Astyanax mexicanus: one gene and its partner. The protein of the gene in region 1 purifies or fractionates together with the protein of each later gene. This does not show direct contact. Links are inferred from orthologs where the notes say so. Each region holds a gene or a part of one and is shown in the gene's direction. Other genes may lie near its edges.

Evidence for each region.
Region 2: the proteins of apaf1 (region 1) and cytochrome c purify together in Homo sapiens (affinity purification with western blotting; 3 studies listed by BioGRID and IntAct, with this or other methods). This does not show direct contact. The link is inferred for Astyanax mexicanus from reciprocal best matches to the Homo sapiens genes APAF1 and CYCS.

Annotation. Positions count from the first base shown.
Region 1 is NC_064409.1:37,144,507-37,154,026, reverse strand, and holds the start of apaf1 (apoptotic protease-activating factor 1), read left to right. Parts: upstream 1-5,471; 5' UTR 5,472-5,633; coding exon 5,634-5,771; intron 5,772-6,879; coding exon 6,880-7,069; intron 7,070-7,457; coding exon 7,458-7,655; intron 7,656-8,860; coding exon 8,861-9,050; intron 9,051-9,520. UniProt on the Homo sapiens protein: Oligomeric Apaf-1 mediates the cytochrome c-dependent autocatalytic activation of pro-caspase-9 (Apaf-3), leading to the activation of caspase-3 and apoptosis. This activation requires ATP. Isoform 6 is less effective in inducing apoptosis.
Region 2 is NC_064412.1:39,207,078-39,216,067, reverse strand, and holds cytochrome c, read left to right. Parts: upstream 1-5,431; 5' UTR 5,432-5,540; intron 5,541-6,781; 5' UTR 6,782-6,786; coding exon 6,787-6,955; intron 6,956-7,136; coding exon 7,137-7,282; 3' UTR 7,283-7,714; downstream 7,715-8,990. UniProt on the Homo sapiens protein: Electron carrier protein. The oxidized form of the cytochrome c heme group can accept an electron from the heme group of the cytochrome c1 subunit of cytochrome reductase.

The DNA of each region.
Region 1 (9,520 bases):
TGATATCATTACTTACTAACTAAACATTGTAAACACTAAAAGTTATATACAGCTCTAAAAAAAATTGAGTTTCTTTAATTTTTGATGGACAATCACAAGCCAAGTTGAACTGCTTAAATTTTAGTGTTTTTTGTGTGTAAGACTGGTGAAGGAGAACATGCCAAGATGCTAGGGGTGTCACGATCTCGATATTTTATCGAAATCGAATCGAAATGAGGTCACGATCTCGAGTATCGAAGTCAAAAAGAGGATCGACGATCCCTCCCGCGCGCGCTACGCAAATAGCGCGGCACCAACACAGCGCATCCTATTCATTTAAATAGAGATAGCCACTGCATGAGCGCAGTCGGCGGGAGTGTGATCACTGTTTTTATCTGTCCAACGGGGGAGGGGGGGCGGGGGTTGGGCGCGCAGGTTTTGTATCTGTATCTAACGGAGGGGTGGGTGCGCGCAGGTGAGAGCGTGTGAACTCGCTGAAATGCGTGTGTCAGTGTGACTTGAGAACACTGACTATAGATCACAGTGAGGTGGATTAAAAATCTTAAACTTATAATTGACTACACCTGTTGCTTTCCATTGAATTAAAAAAACATCTTTCTCTCAGATAAAGTAAACACAAGCGTGTTTCTGACTAAAATAAAAGCTTTTCAGGAGAGATATAAGTTATGTGTAAATATTTATAAGACAATACCCACATCACTTATCTAACCAGCCTGTACTGATTTCTGCCCCCCAATAATGCTTTCAATAACCTCTTGTAACCCCTGGGAGCCAGGGGTTACACTCTAATAGCCTTTAATAGTCTTCAGTAGCCTTTAAAAGACTTACCTGGCGGCCGTGGTGTGTCCACTAAACTCCGTAGTTATAAACATCCTGAGGTTAGCAGCGCGCTAACTGACCTGTTTATGATGTAATCCGAGCAGTGACTCCGTGTCGGCTGTTCTAACCTGCTGCTGTTAGCTGCTTGGGCTGAAAGATGAACTGTAGTGAGCTGTATTATCCGGTTAGTGGGGTTAAAACCTTTATTTGTTTACAGAAACAGTAAAAACGGACTGGCTGAGCTCTGTAGCCCGTGGCTGGGCTGTACTGAAGTAGTGACTGAGTGAAGAGAGCGGGGCTTGTGCTGCTGCTGCTAGTGGTTGGATGAAGAACTGCAGCTTCATGTAATGAGCAGTTTCACCAGCCATCCACACACAGCTCTGATAAACTGCTTGTTTTAATAGTGCACACTGTTGCTACCAAAAAAAGTCACTAGATGGCATTACCATATATATCTTAATAAATAATAATAATAATATTTATAATAATAATAATAATAATAATAATAATAATAATAAATATATTATTTAAATTTTATGAGGCATAAAATAATAACAAGAAAATAAAACAAGAAAATCGAGAATCGAATCGAATCGTGACCCTCAAATCGAAAATGAAATCGAATCGAGGATTTAGAGAATCGTGACACCCCTACAAGATGCGTAGAAACTGTGGATTAAAACCAGGGTTATTTAACCAAATATTGGTTTTTGAACTCTATGAACTTTATGAATATGAGCTTGATTTCTTTGCATCATTTGAGGTCTGAAAGCTCTGCATCTTTTTTGTTATTTTAGCCATTTCTCATCTTATGCAAATAAATGCTCTAAATAACAATATTTTTATTTGGAATTTGGGAGAAATGTTGTCTGTAGTTTATAGAATAAAAAAACAATGTTCATTTTACTCAAACATATACCTATAAATAGCTAAATGAGAGAAACATGTTTCAGAAACTGAAGTGGACTCTCTTTCAGAGCTGTAGATCTAGTGGAATTTCTGTATTTCTTCATAAATGTGACTTAAAACATCATAACATTTCCTAAAAGTAAATGAAGATAAAAAATATATTTAAAATATTATACTTGATTTAGTGCTGGACGATATGGCCAAAATTTATATCACGATATATTCCTTAAATTTCGGTCGATACGATATAATTTCGATATCGATAAATACTTTGAAGGCCTCAGAAAAAGAATCCCTGCAATCTCTGCAGCTTGCACTGCAAATTTAAATTATTATTTAACTGTGTATTTGCACTTTTTGTATCAATCTATCCAATGGAAATCTGTACCTACTACTGTATGAAAATGTTTTAAGTCTTTGAAACCTCGTTTCACAAAAACTTTAATACTTTAGAAATAAAAGTAGTCAAAATAAATCAATGCTCAATTTTATTTGCATATAGCAAAATAATAACATGACATCCCTGCCAAACATAAGCCTATATAACTATTACAAATAAAAATAACTTTAAATGACAACAGAGGCAGAGCTTCTTATTCATTGTAAACAAATTTAACAGATTAAAACAAAAGTGTTTTAACTAGGATATATAATACAAGAAGCCTTTATATACATAAAAGCAACAAAATTTTCCCGTCAAATAAACAAACCTATAGGATTTTTCAACTATAAATAACTTAGTGACAACATAATCTATTAAAGTGCTTCAGCCAGAATACAAGAGGTATTCAACATGATATCAACGGCAAATAAACAAACCTAAAGGATTCATAAACTTTAAATAACTTAGTTTCAACATAATCTATTAAAGTGCTTCAGTCAGAATACAAGAGGTATTCAACATGATATCCACGTCAAATAAACAAACCTAAAGGATTCATAAACTTTAAATAACTTAGTTTCAACATAATCTATTAAAGTGCTTCAGTCAGTATAAGGAAAATATTGTATGTAGTGAAGATGCTTGAGGTGGTAGAACAGATTAGATGTATTAACGTTACGCTGCTTGTCGGCTCCACTCACCGGCACAATTTGCAGCAAAGCGGCAAGCGAGCGGAGCCGCGGATGAGCGAGCGGAGGCGCGGATGAGCGAGCGGACCCGCGGCTGGGCGAGCGGAGCCGCGGCTGGGCGAGCGGAGCCGCGGATGAGCGAGCGGAGGCGCGGATGAGCGAGCGGAGGCGCGGATGAGCGAGCGGACCCGCGGCTGGGCGAGCGGAGCCGCGGATGAGCGAGCGGAGGCGCGGATGAGCGAGCGGACCCGCGGCTGGGCCAGCGGAGCCGCGGATGAGCGAGCGGACGCGCGAGCGGAGCCGCGGATGAGCGAGCGGACGCGCGAATGGGCGAGCGAAACAGCGGCTGACCGAACCGAGTCTACCCTAGCCTTGGATCCGCTCGTCCCGGCTCCGTTTCGAGACATTTTAGATGCGTAGCGGAGCGGACCTGAACCTAACCTAGCCTAGCCTAGCCATTTTAACCTAGCCTAGCCTAGCCTATCTGGCTACGTGCCTGTGTGATTGCGTCATCACGCACTGAGGTAGCACAGCTATGGGGGCTGAATGTGTTTGGCTCTGCGGCGAGCTGACGCCAGTAAAAAACGCCTGTCCGTGACAGATTCTGTACATAATACATATCGATATACCACAAAAGTGATATCACCGTTATTGAAACATTTCTTATCGCGATAAATACCGATATCGAATTATTGTCCAGGCCTAACTTGATTATTTATTCATTGAGGAAAATGATTCAATATTATGTATTTATAAGTGGCAAAAATATGTAAACCTCTAGGATTAGCAGTTGGTTTGAAGGTGAAATTTAGAATCAGCTGTTTTCAATCAATGGGATGACAATCAGGTGTGAGTGGGCAGAACCTGTTTTATTTAATGAACAGGGATCCATCAAAGTATGCTTAAACCATGAATGAAATAAGTAAATTCGAAAGAAAAATGGAAGGATATCTATCCATGAACTGACTCTCAAGAGAAGGTGCGTGGGTCATGCAGCAAGTAAATAACCCTAAGCACACAAATCGTTCCACCAAAGAATGGGTAAAGAAGAAAAAAATAATTAAAATGACAAACTTTTAAGCACCACTGTATATGAAGGTAAAAGAGTGATAACAATATTATCGATTTTACAGCATAACACAATCAATGCACTAGTGGCATATATAAAGAGCCTACATCCTATTTCTTTTGGTTTGATGTTTTCTTTGATGTTTTGAATCAGAAATATTTTTACACTGTCATTTTCCAACCTCATACTTTGATATAGCAATAGCATGTAGGCTAATTTTGTTACTTTGTCGTTAAGACTGGTATATGTAAATTAACTCTGACTGGATTTGCAACCCTGTGTTGTGCCCCATAAAAAAGTAGTCCTGGCTGAAAATGTATTTTAATGTCTTAAGTGAAGTTTAATGAACTGTTGACTTTATACTAAACATTGCAATATATGTATTTCCTGTAATATATTGCAATATTAAAGTATTATTAAAGTATTTATAATGATTAAAATTATGGTCGAAAGTGTTGGCAGCCTCAAAGTTTTTCTCCCAGAAAATCATTGCAATTACACGTAATGTTATATACATGTTTATTTCTATTGTGTGCATTGGAAAAACACAAAAACACACAGAAAAGGCAAAATTTGAGAAAATTTCACGCAAAACACCCAAAATTGGATGGACAGAATTATTGCACACTTTTTGGAGAGAAATATCTGTCCCTGTAACAATGGATAAGATGCACCTGAGCCTACAGGTCAGCTTGAAGTTCTTTAGAACTTCATGGGGCTCCTTATCCAACATTTGAACTATCTGGAGTTGCAACCTTTTATCAGTTTTTCTCATCCGTTTATGTCCAAGGAGATTAGCTACAGTGCCATAGATTGTAAAGTGTTGTGCACCATGGACAAAGAAACATCAAGATATCTGGAAATGGACTTGTAACCTTGAGATACATTGAGATGCATGATATTTGTCCACAATTTTGGTTCTCAGTCGTCAGACAGTTCTCTTATCCTCTTTCTGTTCTGCAAAGATTAAATTAATTTCTCTCCTTTTTCTGTGGTTTCAGGTGTTATTTTTGTATTGCCCACACCTGTTCCTTGCTACTGGTGATTTTAAACCAGTTAAAACCTGTTAAAAATGTGCTTACATACTACCCATCAAACTCTTATATTTAAAAAATATATATATATTATTTACAATATGGCCTTCACAAAATAATAATTTACTATTTTCTTTAATAATTTGATTTTGTTTTTATGTGCTTTACCATGTTTAGAATAATGTTACACATACCATATGTTGTTGAGTAAGATTGGTATGCATATGTTGAATACTGCATCAATAGTGGACAGTTCGTATGTTGCTGATTGCTCAGATTGAAATAATTAAGAAAACTTTTATTTAAGGTCTGGGTTGTTTTTTAGGTTTACGTTCTTTCAAAGTAAACAATCAATTGTCAAACTTCCCTGGTCCTCTTTTTTTATTCTTAAATGCAATTTTTCTTAATTTTAAATAAATCAGAAATACAATTACAGACCCTATATTTTGGCTTTAAATAAACGTTCTTACCTCTATCTGAAATAATCCTAGGATCAACAGAACAAGAACAAGAACAAGCTACCTTGAGATGATTATACTTGTCCATCTTTATTGTGTCTGCAGGAAACATTGTGTGTGTGTGTGTGTGTGTGTGTGTGTGTGTGTGTGTGTGTGTGTGTGTGTGTGTGTGTGTGTGTGTGTGTGTGGGTGTGGGTGTGTGTGTGTGTGTGTGTGTGGGTGGGTGTGTGTGTGTGTGTGTGGGTGGGTGTGCGTGGGTGGGTGTGTGTGGAGATGGAGGAGAGGGCTCGCAGCTGTTTGCTGCGCTCCAAAGACACTCTGGAGCAAGATATAAAGGCCTCCTACCTCATGGACCACATGATCAGTGACGGGGTCTTGACAACAGATGAAGAGGACAGGGTACTCAGCAAGGTATAGCAAATAGACCCAGATACAGGTTAACAACCAGCCACTGGTCAAAAGTTATATGGCACATACTTAAACTTGTTTTTTATTACATTTAAACTGTGCTTTATAATATCAATATTTGTACAGTGTGCAGTTGGTAACACCATTTCTCCCATATCCCAGACTTAGGTTAAATTCCCTGTCTGAGGAAGAGCACCACAGTATAACAATACATTTTCCTAATGTCTGTAATGTGATTAAACTTTTTGCCACTGGGTAAGTTTCAAAATAATACCCCAAATTAAGCATGAATAAAAAAAATAATAGTATTAGATTTAGTATTAATAAGGTCATATATATATATATATATATATATATATATATATATATATATATATATATATATATATATATATATATATATATATATAAAATATGTATGTATGTATGTATATATATATATATATATATATATATATATATATATATATATATATATATATATATATATATATATATATATATATATATATATATACATATACACTGATTCTCTTAAGTAATCATGCATCAAACCAATTAGTGTGTCACTTCCCAATCACTTTAACAGCCAGGTGCACTCTTGTGTTCTCATTTATGAGAACAGCAATGTTATTTTATTTTGTTTTCTATTTTAATGTAAAGTTGGGTTTGTGCACTGCCTCTGGTCCATGTGTGTGTAACAAGTGGGCGTGTATGTACATTGAGCACATGAGGCATGCCTGCATTGCCAAGAGACCAGTAAACTGACTGATGACTGTTGTCAGGGTTTTAATCAGCCACTGGCGCACCTTTTTTCCATTGCCAAGATCGCAATACACCTCACTTCCAGACCACCATACCCCTTGGCTTAGATACTGTATGTCTGTGAACATCTTTGCTATTTAAACGATGCAGACTCAAAGTGTGAAAATAGACTATAGATGGGATGTAAGATAACAGTGAATATTGCGATGAGCCTTGTGAAGGGTGTAAGATATGGTTAATATGAAGTAAAAAAAGAAGGTTTAAAAGCTGTTACAGAGATGATGTAGCATGTGAGGTTCCTCTTTATGACATTGTTGCTTCACTTTTGCTCTCTTTTATTTTATAGCCCACCAGAAGAGAGCAGGCAGCAGCATTGCTGGAGGTCCTCCTGCGGAAAGACAACAGAGCCTACATCTCCTTCTACAATGCCCTGGTTAGAGAGAGCTATGGAGACCTGGCCAACCTGCTGCATAATGACCTGCCACAACTCAGCCCTGAGGGTGAAAAGAGCTTTTCCAATGGGGTCTCTTCCTTAGGTAAACATTAAACTGCCTCCTTCTTACTAAAATGATTTCACTAATGATTTTACTAATAGTCTGTAGTACGTTGTGGTGAAATTGTCGAAGGGAGAGGAAAAAGTTCTAAATTCAGTGTGCCTCGTCCACATTGACCATGAACCAACTGGGACAGCCACCAACCCATAGGACACAGAATTACATGTCATTAAGTAACCCCAGAAACTCACAGTTAACTCTTTTACACAAGGAACATGCTCTTCCACAAGCCTCAGTGGCTAAATAAGACTAATCTAACTCTAGTTAATGAGAGTAACACACCAACCGTTCTGTAAAAAAAGTATTTTTTTGTTTTTGCCTTTTTTAGGATTAGGTTATATCTGATCTCTCTCTGCTCTAATTATTTCAGTTCAGCTTATTCTGAGTGAAGGCGGAGTTCCCCAAAGGCCTATGGTTTTTGTGAACCGGCCTGCTCTGCTTAACCAGGTCCGGGAGAAGCTGTACCAACTGCAGAAAGTGGTGGGCTGGGTCACAGTGTTTGGAATGGCTGGCTCAGGGAAGTCTGTGCTGGCTGCAGAGGCAGTGAGAGACCATTCATTAATCAAAGGTACTGTTTTTTTTTCTACATAAATATTTTAGTTTTTCAATGGTTAGTTTTTGACTAATGTAGAGTAACTTGCAAATGGCATATTTCTTAAAAAGAATTTTAGCAAGGTTATTATTATTTTTTCCCATTTCAGTTCATTACAGTATGCTAAATACCCTTACATGCCAGTAGTCATAGTTCAGCAGTATGTAATTTGATCATGAAATGTTCTCTTGGTTATATTGTGAGTGAGGTTCTGAATTTCTGCCAGAATTCAGTGAGAAAATGGACTGGTAGTGGATTTGGGTTGTAGTGAAACATGGTAACGTGTACAGACTTTTGTGGAATTCTCTAATCCCCCCAAAGGTACTCTGTGTATAAGCAGTCACAAGGTACTGTGTGTATAAACAGTGTTTTTTATTAAACTGGAGTTTTCAGTGTCTCATTTTAAATGTCAGGGCCCTTGCCGTTTCGAATCCTGTTTATATAGCTTGCCATTGGCTACCAGAGCCCCAAGAGCACATAATTGGCCTTGTTCTCTCTGGGTGGGTAGATGGCGCTCTCTCCAAAGGCTGATGTCTGCAGCACAAGGCATCTGTGAGCTGATGTATCGGAACGAGTCGCTGCGCTTTTCTCCGTGCGAGCTGTGATGCTACTCAGCAATTCTGCATCATCAGCAGTTCAAAAAGAGACGGTGGATGACTTCACATGTATCGGAGGAGGCATGTGCTAGTCTTCACCCCCCTGATGTTGGGGCATTGCTAGTGATGGGGAGTCCTGATGAGTGGGTTGGGTAATTGACCGTGTAAATTGGTCATTAGGCATAACAAAATTTAGCTTCTATGAAGATCATATTTGTGCTTTATACATATTATATTTATGTGTGATCATAAGTTTTGCTGCACAGTAGATTAGTACACCATCATGGTCTTTGTTGGTCAAACAAGGGTTTGCTTTGCTCTTTTTAGCACTTGTGAAAGCACTTCTCTATGAAACTTGGTCTTGCAGACCTCAGCTTGACCTACGCTTTTTACTTTCATTTCAGAATTTGAGTTTGACTTAAGTAACAGTCACAGTTTCAGAAAATTTACCCATGGTGTCCAAACCTTTTCATGTTCCATAGATTCATAGATTATTTATATGCTTGGCAGTAACTTATTAATCACAAGCTCTCTCTCTCTCTCTCTCTCTCTCTCTCTCTCTTTCTCTCGTCTTCATATCTAAAGAGTGTTTTCCTGACGGTGTTCACTGGCTGTCTGTTGGACAGTGTGAGAGAGCAGAGCTGCTGGTGAGGATGCAGTCTCTGTGTTTTAGGTTGGAACAGAATCAAACTGTGGATTCACCTCCAAGACCCCCTAATTCTATTGAGGAAGCCAAAGAGCGACTGCGCTTCCTTATGCTCCGCAAGTTTCCCAGGTAACCTGACTCAGGTCTTTGCAAGAGCCAAAACATTAAGACCTACAAGTAATCTGACTAAATAAATTAGCCATCGTCAGTTTTGCTATGGTATTAAACAACTGACAATGAAAATGGTGATGGGTTAGCTATTAATTAACATTATTTTCTTCATAAATTGTTAAATAGGATGATGGAACACTTGAAAAGTATATATTTATAAAATAATATCTATTTAGTAATTTAGTAATTAGTTCTCAAATCCTATAAATACACCATATATTTATCAATAACTGCCTTAAAATATTTTTTTCATATGTAGGCAATAGTGTTGTCACGATACCAAAATTATGACTGTAAATACAATACCTGCCTAAATATCTCAATACCGATACTAAAACGATACCTCTGCAAAAAATAGAACATCAGGAAAAGTAATGGAATAACAGATAACCGAACTTAAAGTTAATAGTTTTTTTCATTAATAAACA
Region 2 (8,990 bases), on another chromosome or scaffold:
CCACCCAGCCCATGTTCCAACCATGTGAGACCCACATGGGCATGCTGGCTAGGTACACATCCCAGGCTTTTTCAATTAATACACTTCACCTCTTTAGTTCTGCTCTTGTGCCTCAATTGATAATGGAATAGTGAACATTTTAAATACTATTTGACAAAGCTGAACAGAGATCTTTACCCTAATTGTGCACCATGCAATTGTGCAACATTAACGCCGGAAAATAGTTCTCAATCCGGATCCTACAGCTTCACTGTAAAACTACTCTTTCCATTTAATGCCTGGTCATTCGAACTAAGCATCTTGTTGAGGAAAACTACAAAGAGTACTAATAATTCACCCTAAAACCTTTTTACTACCCTAGTGTGACCAAACTGTGTTTGTGAAGCTAGTGTTTGCTTCCCACTTTGATTCAAAAATCTGGAGCAATTTTAAAACCTCAATTAAGCCACATCTATAGAGTTCCACAAATAAGAGGCTCAAAATACAGTTTGTGAATATAGAATATAGTCTTTACTCAGTGTACATAAGGATCATGTTCTTTAGGGATCAGGGTTCATACACAATTTAACCAATACATTTTCATGACTTTTCTATGCCTTCAAGACAAATTATCATGACCATATGAATTTTAAAACATCTGTGCAAACATGGAAAATAAAACCAAAAATCTATTTTAATAATAAAATGTGGGTCAGATCCTGAGAGCTCCAAAACGTCCTGGGTGTTTTTATTTTTCCAAAACCCTATCCAGTCCTGGTAATTGCTATTTTTAAATTCCATGACTTTTCCAGGTTTTTCATGACCGTACAAACCCTGAGGATTACTTTTAAGCTGAATTTAAATTAGTTTCACTTTTCTGCATAAAACATAATGCTAGACCAACAGTAGAATAAGTCTAAAAAGCTTGTAAATTGCACTGTGCTTGGCAAATTATTTCAAATGTTGTACTTTTAAGCGCAATATAACTTAAACAGGACAATCAGCATAAAAACTAACAAGAAGAAACAAAAAAACGGTTCAAAGAGTAAGGTGTCATTCACATGCTTATTAAACTTATGGTAAGTTTAACCTGGATAATGAATTTAACTTGTGTGCATAAGATTTTGCTCTCTGATTTAGACCCAATAAAATACAATTGTTAAAAACATATAGCACACAGATGAGGGACCAGAAGAAATTAGTTTAATATGGAGAAACTGTTGACTCCCTGTGAAGCATCCAGTATCAAAGACAACTGCTCTGTGACTTCCTGCAAGGTCTTGATTATCAAAGGAAATATTTCCTGAGAAATCTCTGGTGGGTGTCCCTGTAAGAACCCGCCAAAAGTATTTCCTATTGTATTGTCATGGAGCACGGTTTGGTTCTAGATCAAATACAACCAGTCAAGTTAATAAGATCACCCCACCCCAGTTGTCCTCCAGTTTGGAACAGCAGTCACCAGAGCTTGTCTAAGAGTTGATTGTAGAGTCTCAACCAGCTGTCCAAAATTGGGGCCAGTGGTTGTATTATCAGCATTGTATTGGCTGATACCAGAGTAATGCAGAAAAACCCTTTCAAACGTCTTACAGAAGTCTGCAGACTCTCCATTTCTTTGTCTGTATTTTGTGATTTGCTTCCAGTCATTTGAATAACAGCATTTACAGCTAATCCAGGAACTGGAAGCTTCCCATGCTCTTTCAAGGTTTTGGTTGTTGTCACCCAAAGCATTCAACACCTTTTTAGAAAGCTCTTTACCTTGTGAATAATTACTGACTTGGCTTGCTATGGCAAATGTATCATTTGGATGTAGTGGGTACAGATTCTTTTTCTTATGCATGAGATCAGTGAAGTCCAGCTTCATGTCTCTTGGAGGTTTAATCTCCTTGGATAACTTATCCAGAGTAGATGTATGAAAAGGATGAAACCAATTTCTATTCTGGTTTCACTACCTGCATTTCTCCTATTAAGTACCTCAGATGGTACAATGTTACAGGTCTCATTTGAACCTGACTTTAAAATTGTGTCAAAAGACAAAGATTCTGATCCATCAGAGAAGTCAACTCTGATTACTCATGCAGATTGCATCTTGATTGAGGATTCTCACTCTCTGTGTGGCATGGCTGGCCTGGTAGAGGGCCAAAAGGTAGAGAACATTGAAGCATAGACTTAGTTTTAGACATATGTTGCTGTTCAACTTCTGTCAGTGCTTATTGCAGTTTTTATATGTAATTTCGATATTTCTGGTAGCTCTTTTATGTCTTTTGTACTCACTCGTTAGTTCTAATCTGATCAGCTTTCTAAATTACTCTTCAGCTTCTTTTAACTTATCATCCATAGATTTCAACTTTCCTTCCCAGTACTGCTAAATAATAAAAATACATGCTTGATGCCATGACTTAAAGCTGTTTTACACTCAACAAGTATCTATCTCTATCAGCAGAGAAATCTGTGGATGACAAATACTGAGTTATCTTTTGCTGACTAATATGTTTCTTCACTATGTCACTGATTACCAATCCGTTCAAAGTCAGAATTAAACAACTGAGGCATTTCAGTCCCTCCCTTAACTAAGGTGCTGCTTTTATAGTTAAGAGGTTTCCGTCTTTAGCAAGACCAAGAAACGTCTCTTCAGAGAAGACATTAACTTTAATGTCTTCTCTGAACAGACATTAACATTAACTTATCAGTACCTTTCAGTATCTTTTAGTTGTAACAAAAACAAACCATCTGTCTTTCTCTTAAGGAGAATCTCTACAACTTCTATGCTTGGCCAAGATTTCCTATACTGATTTCCCATTATGTGGTTTGTGATAGGGCTACATTTTTAAGGCTGTTTTGTATTTTACATAAAGCTATTGTATGATGATCACAATATGGCAGAGTAAAAAATCACACTATGATCATAAAAAAGTTGCACAATTTAAAATGTCATAATCAGGCAGTAGTGGCCTGAGCAGGGTGCACACCCAAGCTCCTCCACTTGTATGTTACCCTTTTTTAATAAACAGTTTTCTTAAATAATAGGCCTACATTCTTGCATGCTGCACTGTTCATTATCATCATTCGAAACAGATTTTACTAATTTAAAGGATAACTCCAGTGTAAAATGGTGACTTTTGGTGTAGTAAAACATGATAAAAAGTACTTACCTTTAATGAATAGCACACCTCCGTTCTCCCACAGAGGCAAATTATGCCCCGTGTCACCCAGTCTGAAGGGTGTTTGGACAAACTGTTAAAATTTCTAGATCTTGGAACCCTGTCGGAAAACGGAGGTGTGCTATTCATCATAGTTAACAGTTTAAATATATAAAATAATGACAAATAAAATAGAATTACTTGGCTTGGGTAGGGTCAGTCTGTTTTTTTTTTTTTTTTTTGACCCGATGTAAGCTCTATTAGGCAGTGACTGAATTAACAGAGGTCATTCTAGATTGATGATTTAGCATGTTTTGGGTAATAAACTGAAAATTCCAGCAACCTGTAAAGCTGTTTTAACTAGCACTGCTTAACATAATGCTAAAACAAGGTCATTGCACTCCAGGTGTAATCATGAAAGATTACAAAACGAATCTATGTTCATACCAGGTGGAGAGATGACTTACTTCACTTTACTAGACCTGTTAACACACTGTGATCTGGATAAAAAAGAGTCTTGAGGTTGGATCTGCTATGAATGCGGTATTCTCTTAATCTCTTTCTCTGTTCTCCATTCTCTTCTTTTCACACTCTGAACACCATGTGACTTCGAGTCTGAACTGGTTGTGCCCCCTCGTCCTTTCCATAGAAGGATCTGGTGTACGTGAGCTGAATCTACAACGCGATTACATTCGCGGAATGACGATACCAGCCTCGCGGGTGAATCGGTTCTTTTCAAGGACTCTGTTGAACCGATTCACAAAGATGCTTATTAAGTATTCAGTATTTCTCAGTACTGTATAAATGCAATATGCAACATCAAAATATAACATTTTTAAATGTATTATTATTCATCTTTGTTAATAATTGCGGTAAACTATATAATTGCCATTTCAAGACCATTTCATGACACTACTAAAATTATTTTAAAAAAGACATAATAATACATTAACACATTAGTGTTAAAGAAGACAGACATTTTAACTGCTAGGAATATTTACACACTAGATTTAGAATACAACATTGTTTAAATAGATAGCAAAATAAATGACAAATAAAATAAATAATAATAAATAAAATAATAAAAGTTTGACATATCAGCTGATTCTCATATTGAGCTTTTCTTATTAAGTAAACATAATGAACAATATTAAGATTAGCATAATTTATTGAAGTTATGTTATTGTATGATAAATCAATAACAGAATTATTGTAACAGGCCTATAATTTACATTAGATATTGGAACCAGGATTCCTTTCTCTTGGCAGTGTTTTGACATTTAGGATGTGTCTAAAACTAGGTATTTCCATACTTTATAGTATTTTAAATAAGTCAATCAATGGAAGCAAATTTATTAGTAGGCCCGTAAGTAGTGTACGATAATATAGTGCAGTATTGTAAAGTAAAGTACAGTATATTGTAGCATATTGTAGAGTTTAATAAAAGTTTGCATAGTACAATAAAAAATGGTATATTACAGTACAGTATAGTATAAAATGGTATAGTATAATATAATATTGTATGGTATAGTGTGATAACATATAGTTCAGAATGATACTGTAAATTAAAGTTTGAGCTGGTATATTATAAAATAATGTATAGTATAGTATGGTATAATATTGTACACTTTGTACACTAGAGTAGTATAAGAAAAGAATATTGTAGAGTTTAATAAAAGTTTGTTTAGTACTATTTAAAATGGTACAATACAGTGGAGTATGATAACATAGTACAGTATGGTGCAGTAAAGTACCTGATAAAATTGTATAGTATAAAATAATGTATAGTATAGTATGGAAATGTGTACTATAGTATAGTATAGAAAGTATTTAAACAGTTTAATAAAAGTTTTATAGTACAGTTAAAAAAAGTATAGTATAATATGGTATGATATGATATAGTATGTAGTACAGTGTGGTACAATAAAATACCTCATAAAATAGTATAGTATGGAAATGTTTAGCATAGCATAGAAATGTATATTGTACAGTTTAATACATTTTGTATAGTACAGTATGAAATTCTATAGTACAGTATAGTATTATATAGTATAGTATAATATAAAAGTGTGTGATATCGTATGATAACATATAGAACAGTGTTGTACAGTGAAGTACATTATAATATAGTATAGTATAAAATAAAGTATAGTATAGTATAGTATCGTATAGTATAGTATAGTTGCAGCATGTGACTGAATCAATGCGTCGCTGAATTGAACACTTTGTGAAGGACAGTTAGAAAGAATCGGTTCGTGAAACTGATTCGAACTGGGCTTCACTAGAGAGGTACGTGACGAGGCGGCGCCGCCGCGGTGCTACGTCATCTGAGCGAGCCTCTAAAATGTAGTGACCTTCTTTCGGTCGAGCGGCAGAATCCGACTCTTCGGGTCCAGAGAGGGAGAGAGAAACACCATCCGCAGGGTGAGTGGCTTTCCTTCCTTCCTTACAGAGAGAGATTATAGCGGGTATTTCATAAAGAGAGTTTACTCATAAATCTGTTCTTTATATTAAAGCTGTAGATTTAGCGGAGTTTTTCAGGACAGAGAGAGAAATTAGTGAATTAGCGGAGGAGCTGTTAGATAAGGGCCTTTGAAGACTTAAGTAACCGGCACCCGGTTTTTTCCTGAGCCGAGTAAACTATTTAATCTAGTAGTTCGTAGGGCGAAATGTATCAGTGTATATGTGTGTTCTTAATCATAAATTTTATCTGTTGTTCTGCTATGAGCTTATATATGGTTGTGAGATTTTCGCAGTGTCGAGAGATTTTCCCAGCCGAATGAGAGCTGTAGCACATCTGCTCTTAATGCTAGGTTAGCTTAGCCGCCCGGCTAACGCGCTAACCGTGATGGATGATTCACACTCGTCAGGTTTAACGTTAGTCTTTCATCCGGCTTAAAAAATGTGTAGATCTCTTGGCTTAAAAACACTAATTTTGTAGCAAAGTAATATCGCTAGCTAGTTAACTAACTAACTGTAACCTACAAACTACAGCGTTTTCATGATATTATGTGGACTGATATCAAGTAACTTACCCCGGTTTTCTGATTCATTATTAATGTCTCGGATGGAGATGCTCACTCCGACCTTGCTACAGCTAACTTAGCTTAGCTAGCAGGCTAGCTAGGTCACTAGCCTTTTTATATGGTCATGTTAGCCGCGCTAGTTAGCTTAGCTTATCTTGGTTAATGTTAACTTTGGACGCAGACAGTTTATATTTAATTAAAACTGTTTTTCTTTTCTGGCCTGTTTGCTGTTGTAGTTACCATAACTATGTTTCTAGCAGAAGCTCGTGTCCTCAGGTTTAACAGAGCGGGGACATTTCTGTTGTAATCTAATGTTAGCTACGTTAGCTCCTGTTCTCTGCCAGCATGCCGGTTCTCACGCGCTGCCGGCTCTTAAAGCTCTCTGATTGATTAGATTTTGGTTTCACTTTCTAAGAGATTAGCGAGCAGCCAGTTAGCAGCAGCTGTGTTTAAGCAAAAGAGACTCGGGTTTGCTTGCATTCTCCTTGAGTGACCTTAGTGTGTCCTGATCCTATAGCATCACTTTCTGTGCGCTGCGGCTATGACTCAGAACCTTTTTTATACCAGCTGTAAAGTGTATAGAGTTTTATGATGGTGTTTTTATATATTTGTGTTTTTTTTTTTTTTTCTTTTTTTTAGAAAACATGGGTGACGTCGAAAAGGGAAAGAAGGTCTTCGTCCAGAAGTGCGCACAGTGCCATACAGTCGAGAACGGTGGCAAGCACAAGGTTGGCCCCAACCTTTGGGGTCTTTTCGGACGCAAGACTGGACAGGCAGAGGGCTTCTCCTACACAGATGCCAACAAGAGCAAAGGTGAGTTCACCAGGAGGGTATTTAACCAAGGACAATGTCTCCTTGGTGGGCTTAATGGTTTTGAAGCTAGTTTGCTGTGTTTTTCCTTTACAGGACTGGCCTTTAATGTGTCTCAGACCATTTTGTACACTATTCATTGGTTTTGCTACTTTTCTTAATCTTTCAAATGGTTTTGTTTTAGGGATCACTTGGAATGAGGATACCTTAATGGAGTACCTAGAGAACCCCAAGAAATACATTCCTGGCACGAAAATGATCTTCGCCGGCATCAAGAAGAAGGGCGAGCGTGCAGACCTCATTGCATACCTGAAGGCATCCACATCGTAATGGTTGAGGATGAGGATGGAGATATTTAAATTAAATGTCTGTAGTTTTGCATTTTCTGTCTTTTAAACAGCATCTACTCAAACAGTTACACGCCACTGAACGACCAGGACTATTCATTGTGGTTTTAAGTCACGGCATGCTACTGATGCCCGTCCATGAGGATTCTAATCTTTTTTTTTGACTACCGCTGAGCTGTCGGCACTGTTTGACTGAGTGTTATTCCTGTGACTTTCAGGTCATTTTACCTGGGGGGGGTAAAATTGTATCCCCCTGATTTCACAGGAGTGGGTGCATGTTAAATTATTTTGCTGTACTCTTGGGTCGAAGTGTTGTGGGTTACATTGCAAGCTAAGGGTGTCTGTCTGCTTATTGGTAGCCATGTTAAGTTATGTACCAGATGAAACTACTGTCAATAAAAGTGGAAAAGATAAATTGTCTCTTGCCACTGTCTATGAAAGGCTTCCAAAAGGCCTAGTATATTGGTCTCCTATTGCAGGTCATGTGTAATGAGAGTTTAAACACTTATTTAAACTGGTTAAAAGGATATCTTTGAAAGAATGTGGAGAATCTGGCTTTAACTTTTGTTTGCATTTTAAAATCTGTTCTTGGTTGTGTAATTCTTTTTTTTTTTTATTGTTTAATTCAATGGGTGTGAGGAAGTGTACTGTGCTGATTTACTGGTCTTAGTCATCAAGTTAGTAAGCTTTCATTTTAAAAAGCTATTATGAAATATGGTCATGTTACATCAGATGGAACATGTATTTAAGAGGTGAAATACAATTTTTCAGCAATCAGAAGTGAAACGTAACTATCCAATATTTTATTATTTGTTATGATTCTGTGTATTAGTAGCTCTATCTAAATTCTGTTTCATGCTGCCTAATTTATTGTGTTAAATTGAAGCAGCTTGAGAATTAACTAAAGTCTCCTCACGTGGGCGCAGTCAACTGAGGCTAGAAGCACTTCCAGAGGTCAGCAACCTCACTGTCCTCGTGGAGTTAAAAAGATAATCTTTGTTAATCTACAGAATTTAAATTGCCCACTGCTGTCTTAATGGTAGGCCTGAGAGTTCTACAGTATCTGGAAGGTCAGGTTAAGTTGGCTACCTGGAGTCTGAACAGGTAGTAAGAGTTAAAACTAGCTTTCTAAATTAAACGTTGAATACATTTAAATGAAGCTTTTATCAGCAGGACTGATTAAGTGGCGACACCGAAAGACATTGAAGACTGTAAATTACATCACAGTAACAGTACAAAGTCCTCTCTGCTGGTCAGAAGGAGTGCCTTCCCAGCGAAGCAGCTGTAGGGTAATACCGCCACCCAGCGGAGAACAGGGCGTTACGCAACTCTGTTCCATAACAAATTTTTATTACCGGGGAAAGTCTTACACAATGTGTAGGTCATCAGCTACGTAATGTTCACTTTCAATAGAACATACTACTCAGATGGTAAAGAACATTGAATCAATGTTTGTGGTGTAAAAACAGTATATGTTTAACACTGCCTAAAAGTGTTGAAATTGAGAGAAAGTTTTTGAAGGTTTAAGGCTCTTCTACATTTACAATGTTTAGGTCAAAGTGCCCCCCAAATATAGTGTTTATTATTATTATATAATGTTTATTTTTGGGAAGCCCCTTTTACCTAAAAGCATTGTTTTTCTCATTAATAATGAGAATTATTGTTATGATTACTATTATTGTTTTTTATTA